Oryzias latipes: one gene and its partner. The protein of the gene in region 1 purifies or fractionates together with the protein of each later gene. This does not show direct contact. Links are inferred from orthologs where the notes say so. Each region holds a gene or a part of one and is shown in the gene's direction. Other genes may lie near its edges. The genes, in order: cytoplasmic FMR1-interacting protein 2 and wasf2.

The links.
Region 2: the proteins of cytoplasmic FMR1-interacting protein 2 (region 1) and wasf2 purify together in Homo sapiens (co-immunoprecipitation; 3 studies listed by BioGRID and IntAct, with this or other methods). This does not show direct contact. The link is inferred for Oryzias latipes from reciprocal best matches to the Homo sapiens genes CYFIP2 and WASF2.

The regions. Positions count from the first base shown.
Region 1 is NC_019868.2:21,204,570-21,208,389, forward strand, and holds part of cytoplasmic FMR1-interacting protein 2, read left to right. Parts: coding exon 1-42; intron 43-154; coding exon 155-251; intron 252-741; coding exon 742-870; intron 871-958; coding exon 959-1,063; intron 1,064-1,149; coding exon 1,150-1,238; intron 1,239-1,348; coding exon 1,349-1,586; intron 1,587-2,134; coding exon 2,135-2,287; intron 2,288-2,481; coding exon 2,482-2,621; intron 2,622-2,711; coding exon 2,712-2,859; intron 2,860-3,664; coding exon 3,665-3,818; intron 3,819-3,820. UniProt on the Homo sapiens protein: Involved in T-cell adhesion and p53/TP53-dependent induction of apoptosis. Does not bind RNA. As component of the WAVE1 complex, required for BDNF-NTRK2 endocytic trafficking and signaling from early endosomes.
Region 2 is NC_019869.2:21,800,014-21,804,259, reverse strand, and holds the start of wasf2 (wiskott-Aldrich syndrome protein family member 2), read left to right. Parts: upstream 1-1,156; 5' UTR 1,157-1,287; intron 1,288-3,538; 5' UTR 3,539-3,569; coding exon 3,570-3,702; intron 3,703-3,840; coding exon 3,841-3,975; intron 3,976-4,058; coding exon 4,059-4,212; intron 4,213-4,246. UniProt on the Homo sapiens protein: Downstream effector molecule involved in the transmission of signals from tyrosine kinase receptors and small GTPases to the actin cytoskeleton. Promotes formation of actin filaments. Part of the WAVE complex that regulates lamellipodia formation.

The DNA.
Region 1 (3,820 bases):
TATGAAGTGTAGTGTGAAGAACGATCACTCTGCTTACAAACGGTAGCCAGCAGTCATTTGGTTTACAGTTTTAAAGTAGCTTTGAAAATAAAATAAAAATGTTATTTTTTTTAGAACGAAAAGTAAAAGTTTTCCACTGTCTTCTGCCTTTTAGAGCTGCTCAGTTCTTGAGGAAGATGGCCGACCCTCAGTCCATCCAGGAGTCCCAAAATCTTTCCATGTTTTTAGCAAACCATAACAGGATCACTCAGGTTTGTTTGTGTCCTTTTCACATGTATGAGGTTGAAAATTAGATTTAAAAGGTTAGTGTTAATCCGAGCTGTTTTTTTCTATTTTTTTTTAATAAAACTGCATATTCAAATCAAAAGATGTTTTTTTTTTTTTCTTTACAGTGAACAAAAGTGGAAAGACGTTGGAGAATTGGGTTCACTGTTTATGCACAGAGCTGGTTAGATTAGGGTTTGACTTAGCTTTCTCTGCTGATGAATGAATATAAACCAAATGAGAATATTAGAAGTAGTCTAAAATAGCATAACCTATAAAATTATAAAGTCATTCAATTTTGTATAATTCTCAATTAACTTCTTTAATTTAAACAAAATAAAGGGACAAAATGCGTACAGTAATATATATTGTGACTAAAACAAAATTCTTTTCTTATTGTCAAATTTATAAAATCTACAAGATGACAAAAACGGCTTCATTTTCCGTGTCTAATCTGTAGTGTGTTCATTTTTTTAGTGCCTGCACCAGCAGCTGGAGGTGATTCCAGGATATGAAGAACTTTTGGCTGATATTGTCAACATCTGCGTTGACTATTATGAGAACAAAATGTATTTGACGCCGAGTGAGAAACACATGCTGCTAAAGGTCTGTGCAGCTCAACTTAAAGGGTAGTAAAGCTCTGATATCCATGTTGATGTTTATTTTAAGCAAGTGCTCTCCTTGTGCCTTCCAGGTTATGGGCTTTGGTCTGTACTTGATGGATGGAAATGTAAGTAATATCTACAAATTAGACGCCAAGAAGAGGATCAACTTGAGCAAGATTGACAAATTCTTCAAAGTAAGGCTCCAGCTGCTTTAACTACATTTTAGCGACTAACATAAAAAAAACAAATGGGTGAGGCGTTCATGCACTGTAATTTTCAGCTTCAAGTCGTACCACTTTTTGGAGACATGCAGATCGAGTTGTCACGCTACATCGAGACAAGTGCTCACTACGAGGAAAACAAGTCCAAGTAAGGAAACCCTGCCAACGAAATGCTGCTTTTCGGATCGACCTGTACAGTTCCTCTATGTTTCCTGCACGAGGCGTCTCCAGTGAAACGCCGCCGTCTTTTGTGCGCAGGTGGACGTGCACTCAGAGCAGCATCTCACCGCAGTACAACCTGTGTGAGCAGATGGTGCAGATCAGGGACGACCACATTCGCTTCATCTCGGAGCTTGCGCGCTACAGCAACAGCGAAGTGGTGACGGGTTCCGGGCTGGACAGCCAGAAGTCTGATGAGGAGTACAGGGAGCTGTTTGACCTGGCTCTGAGGGGTCTGCAGCTGTTGTCAAAGTGGAGCACCCACGTCATGGAAGTGGTAAGTTAAGAATTGGATGAAGTTTAGCCAACTCTTCAATACGATAAAGAGGTTTCTAGAGTTTTTTTAAGCAATTTTTGCTTAAAGACCCACTACATATAAACAGGTGGATGATGGGAAAGGGGAGCGGGGTTGCCCTGCACCAACAGTCCTGCCCACAACTTGGAGTTGAATTTCTATCAAATACTAGAAAACAACACAGGCTTTTTGAATTTGAATAAAAATGGCAATTCGGTGTGGGTCTTCAAAAACTAGCCCCGTGGGAGAGTGTCTGCCCTGAGACTGGAAGGCCGTGAGTTCAAATCCACAGTTGAGTCGCACGAAAGGGACCCAATGTCTCCCTGCTTGACACTTAGCAATAAAGAGGTTGGATTTGGGGGTTAAACCCCCAAAAGGTCACTGAACATGGCTGTGTCTGCACCGCTCCCCTGGGGGATGGGTCAAATGCAGAGAACACGTCACGTAGCTGACCTGTGTTGCAGTCGATAGAACTTTAACTTTTTTTTTTCCATTTGACCTATTTCCAACACTCCTTTTGTCTCTTTCAGTACTCATGGAAGTTGGTACATCCCACAGATAAATTCTGTAATAAGGACTGTCCAGGCACAGCAGAAGAGTATGAACGCGCCACAAGGTACAACTACACCAGTGAGGAGAAGTTTGCCCTGGTGGAGGTCATTGCTATGATTAAAGGGCTGCAGGTAAACACTGCCGACACATAAAGTGTTCGCTAATTGATGTTCAATGCAGGAGGACATTTAGAAACGGTGTCTGGACAGATATGGTGTCTGCTAAATAGTTTTATTTCAACTTAATTTATAGCTCAGGTGCTAAATAAAGAGGTCTCAGTCCTGAAGACATGCATAATGGTGGTTCTGTGGGATTTGCTGTGTAGGTGCTCATGGGTCGTATGGAGTCGGTGTTCAATCAGGCTATCAGGAATACAATCTATGCAGCCCTGCAAGACTTTGCTCAAATGACCCTCAGAGAGCCGCTACGCCAAGCGGTGCGCAAGAAGAAGAATGTCCTCATTAGGTACTGCAAAGTGAATCAGATAATCCCTTTTGGATTCAGCCTGCAAGAGATGAAGTACCAACTGTGGGATTTTTTTTTTTTTTTTTAAAGTGTTCTCCAGGCAATTCGAAAGACTGTCTGTGACTGGGAAGGAGCAAGAGAGCCTCCGAATGACCCCTGTCTGAGAGGCGAAAAGGATCCAAAGGGCGGTTTTGACATCAAGGTGCCCCGTAGAGCTGTGGGACCCTCCAGCACCCAGGTAAAGCATAAAACATACCAGGCTGCTTGGCATAGAAGGTGCAAGGTGCATGTTATTTGGGTTATTTGGGGAAAGGATTGCCAGGCACACAATTTTTATTTTATTTTTTCAAAGGAAAAGATAATAATCAAAGGGGAATCTGTCTCACCAGAGATGAAGGCAGGTTTTAAAAGTGAAGACAATCAGTATTGCCAGCTTCAAAGGGGGTTAGTGTTCTTTCTGTGATGGCAACAATATGAGAAAATGTCTTATTTTTCTTCAGAAAGAGGCAATACCTCTATTTTTTATAAATTTTTTCATGCTTTGCATGAAATCAAAAATTGATTGTCCAGTTTATTTATCTAAGTGGCAAATATCTTTGATGTTGTAGTTTGTTCCCTTTTGTATTGAATGAATGAATTAATTGAATTGAACTATAAAGACATACTCTAAAGAAAGTTACGTTTAAAATTGCATTTCGGATTTTTTTTTTTTTAGTTCAAGTAGTTTTGAAACGGAAGCAGACGATAAAATTTGGTTTGTAAAAAGAGCTTATTTGTGATATAAAAAAAATGCACGGAGCGGGCCACAAGATCCCTGCTCTCACCAACAGGGAGGGGGAAGATTAATTTCTAATGAACTACTGCCACTCCATAGGAACAATGTCCACAGGTTTTTAAAAAAATTGGCGAAAAACAACATAATAATTAAAAGACCACTGGGATACTAGATCAAAATAAAACACAAGTGGGACTTTAAGCATTTTTTGTTTCTTAATTTGTGAAAAATAAAAAGCATTTTGATGTTTGGTTGTCTTCCTGTGCAGTTGTACATGGTCCGCACCATGCTGGAGTCCCTGATAGCAGACAAAAGTGGATCGAAGAAGACTCTCCGCAGCAGTTTGGATGGACCCATAGTGCAGGCCATCGAAGATTTCCATAAGCAGTCCTTCTTCTTCACACATTTACTGAACTTTAGTGGT
Region 2 (4,246 bases), on another chromosome or scaffold:
TTTTTTTTAAAAAAAACAAAGCCGCTTTACTTGAGTACAATTTTGGCAGCGCTATACTAGACCTTTCTCAACCAATTTGGTCTCCTCATAATAATTACTGAAAAAAATAGACTAATATCAACTGATGTTTTCTTTTAAAAACAAAATGTAACTTAAAGACAACATATTGTTAACCAGTTGCATAATTCGACATTGCTTATCACTAATTTCATCAAGGAATAAGCTTTGATGCAATTATTGATTATTTTTTTGCCTTTTTTTGCTGAATACATGATTGTATCCTCACAGTTTAAGCTTGCACACCTCCAAAAACAATCAGCTGTTATGATATGAATAGTTAACATAACCCAGACATTTTTCTATTGAATATATTTAAAAAATGGGAACAAAAACATATGTTATAGATGTGCAAAGCAGAAGTGCTTTTACAAATGTAAGGCTCAGTAACAAGACAGAAAATTCAAAAACAATCAAAGAAGGAAAGAGGAAACAAAGAGAGTAAATCTGTTTGTAGCAAATATTTCTGTATATAAGTCTTCAAAATAAGAGTATTTATCAAATTTATCTAAATGCACCATTGTCCACAAGATATCTCACAAAAGATTTGAGAATGTGTTTCCCATTTGTTATTTCTACATTTGTTTATATTATATTTTCATTTTAATCATATTTTAATTTTGTTTTTATGTTCTAACTTCCCCAAACATAATTAATAGACGCCAATCATTTAATAGACATTTTTTATATCCAGTGTCTTTCCATACAGTATGTGTACGTTTGTTATAGATACAAAAATTAATGTATACATAAATTTTTACAGTATTGAACCTGCCTGTGCAAATAAAATCCTTAAACCCATAAAGTCAAAACTTTTTATCAAATATTTTGAACTATATAACCAAAGAGAATCTTCCATGTGTTTCTCTCCACAGATGCCAGTCATTCCTCGGACGCGTTCCAACTTGCTGAAGCAGAAGCTGGAAAAAAATCCCTCCTCCGCCCTAATTTACGAAAATTGCGGACAGATGTTTGTCACTAGTTAGGGTGGAGTTGCGTGTTTTACGTTGAAACGTCCACATCCTGTTCTTGGTGAAATCAGACGACAGTCGCACGAGCCAATCAACTTTGAGGAAGTCTGCCAGCAGCCAATCGGAAGTTTAGAATTCCGGGACTTACTCTCCTGGTATCGTTCGACAGTTTACTGTACCGCTCAACTCTTCTGAAGAAAATCAGGAGACAGCACAATTTTTAGAGTGGATATAAAACGTGAAAGTGCCATTTCTGCGGGTAAGTGAAATATTTTCTTAAGAATAGTTTTCTTTGTAAAGTGACGGGGGTAGATATTTGTTAGTTTGACTGTTTCCTCGAGATAAGAGTCGCCTACAAGTTACTTCCTGCTCTGACGAGGAGGCCGAGTTGCACTTAGCATGTTTTAGCTAATGTTGTGGGAATAAAAATACCTTATTTCTTATGGTTTATCCGAGAAAGCTCAAAACTCGACATTATGGTTATACTTACATTATTCTACTGGGGGAGGGGGGTTGTAAGGTACAACATCATGGGTTTCAGATAGCTAACTAAACATCTTGGCTTAGGTAGGAACGAACAATTCGGAGCATTTTCCGTAGAAACCTTGGAAATAATAAATACGCAGTTAGCCATGTAGCATTTAGACCGTGATACATGACTTTTCTTTTCTTTTTTTTTAAATGAAAGCGCCCACGTTGTTGTCAGTGTGAATGGAGCTCGACAGGGTGTAGTAGTTCTCTGAAGGTCTGCTGTCACTCACTGCAGATATCTCTGTTGACATTATCTTTACTTTTTCCGCGCGCTAAACTAAACTAAATAAGTCATAGGCATGATGTGCGCGCGCGCGGACGTTAACAACATTCACCATATAATGAAGAATTTGATTTCTGCTGCCTCAGTAGACAGTATAAAAAAGGCTTCGTAGTTCTTCATGTGGAACCTATTGAGTTCCCATAAGGCAGTAGTTAGAAATCTGTCTGGCAGGGTTTTGCTTCTGCTTTTTTTTTGTCTCTTTATTTTTATACATGTTGGCCTAAGCATGTGACCTTTGCAGAGTTTAGTTCAGAGTTTGGTTATTCATCTGTCTATAAAGGTCCTTAAGGGCCAGTTATCACTGCAAAACACAGAGATGGTTTAAATTCACATGCTTTGATGGAATTCTTTGTTCAAAATTGTATTCAAAAATATATATTTTTATAATAATAATAATAATAATAATAATACTAATGGATTGGATTTATCTGCACTAAAAGCTCTTACAATGTGTCCATTATTCATTCACTCGTCATTCATACGCTTTTCTACACCAGTGGAGCCCCACTGGAGGCAGGGAAGGGGAAGTGTCTTGCCCAAGGACACAATTATAGTTGACTGGAGGGAGCGGGGATCGAACCGCCGACCTGCTCCACCACCAGAGCCACTGCCTCCCATTTGGCCTCCCTTTGGTTTTAAAAACAGTGTGTACTTGCATAGTGACTTCAACTTAAAAAAGGGAAACTTTCACCTACCAACGTGATGAATTCCTACAATGAAAAATAGAGGGGATCCGATTGTTGTTGTTTTGTTTTAGGTTTTTTTTTTTTATAAACCTACCCTTCTACTGGTCTGCGTACTCATTTCTCCCAGGTTGGTAAAAAAAATAATAATAATTTCGTTGCATCTCTTCTTACGCCTAATCAAAGCCAGAATTTTTGGCTTTGAGTCCATTAATGAAGAAAAAAACAGGATTGTTTCAAATGTTTTGAATTAAAATCTTCTCTTCTTTAGGCCTAAAAGTAGGATCAGATTTGGCCTTTAAAAACCCACTTTGATCAATTGTAAAAAATGTCGATTTTATTGTCTGTCACAAAGACGATCTTTTTCAAACAGCATTTTTTTGTTGTTGTCTGCTCCTGATTCATAATCATTTGGATAAAGGAAAACTGAGAAACACAACTTTATGCTTAATTTACTTAATATACGTTCTCAATCATCAGAAAAATGAACACATTAAAAACAGCAAAAACACAATTTTCATTAAGTGGGTCTTAAAAAGGAGAGTATTTCAGTCTGAAAATAACTGTGCGTTTACATCAGTATTTCAGGTCATAGATCTTGTATCCAATTTTTTAACACTATTACTAACATTGTCAATAAAACAAAGAAATTCCTCTCGATTAAAAGGGTTGCACCAACTTAGAATATATTTTTTCTCAAACCCCAAAATGCCCACATAGGATTTTCCAGTGAACATTGTCTTTGCATTGTGCTGCAGCTGTTCATAAATGTTAGACATGAATCTTTATTGGCTTTTCCTGATTGATGAGTTAAGAGTCTTTATTGTTAGAGAGGTACTTTAGTTCAGCACTGGCTGTTATAGAATGTGAATTTTTCATAGCTAACCATTTAACAGGATGCACAAACAGACGTGCAAACCAACCTGGTTGGAGGGTCCTCTCTAAACACTTTGGTTTTTTTCTTCCCTTTTTGAATGTAGTTCATTACTGAATCGTGTTTTGTACACATACAGGGTTTGGCCGTCCTACCTGCCGACCCCCACCATGCCTTTGGTGACTAGAAACATAGAGCCACGGCATGTGTGTCGCCAGACCATCCCATCCACCATCCGCAGTGAGCTGGAATGCGTCACCAATATCAGCCTGGCTAACATCATCCGACAGCTCGGCAGCCTCAGTGAGTATGAATGTGGAGCTGAGCAAAAATTGAGTAACATCTTGAGGCCCATTCTATACATTTGCTACAGTAAATGAATGGTTAAAGCCTTTTTAAAAGGATGATTTTTGTCTTAAGCTACATTCTTTGTTTTTTAAGGTAAATTTGCAGAGGATGTCTTTGGGGAGCTGTTTGTTGAGGCCGGATCTTTCGCTCTTAGAGTGGACACACTTGTCAAAAGAGTGGAATGTCTGCAGGTTAAAGTCACCCAACTAGACCCTAAAGAGGAGGAAGGTATGTACTTTTTTTTCACGTCACATCAGTCATCGACACTTCAGTTTCTTTTTTTCAATAAAATAATTGTCTTTTTCTCTCAGTCTCTCTACAGGCCATCACTACTCGTAAGGCTTTTCGCAGTGATCGAAGTCAGGACCAGCAGTTGTTCATCAGGCCGTCTCTGCCGGTGCCCATACAGGACACCTACTTGACCTGCAATCCTCCTCCCCCACTCAACCAGCTCAGCCAGTACCGGTAGGAGGCAACAGCCAGCCACAGTTGCATCAGA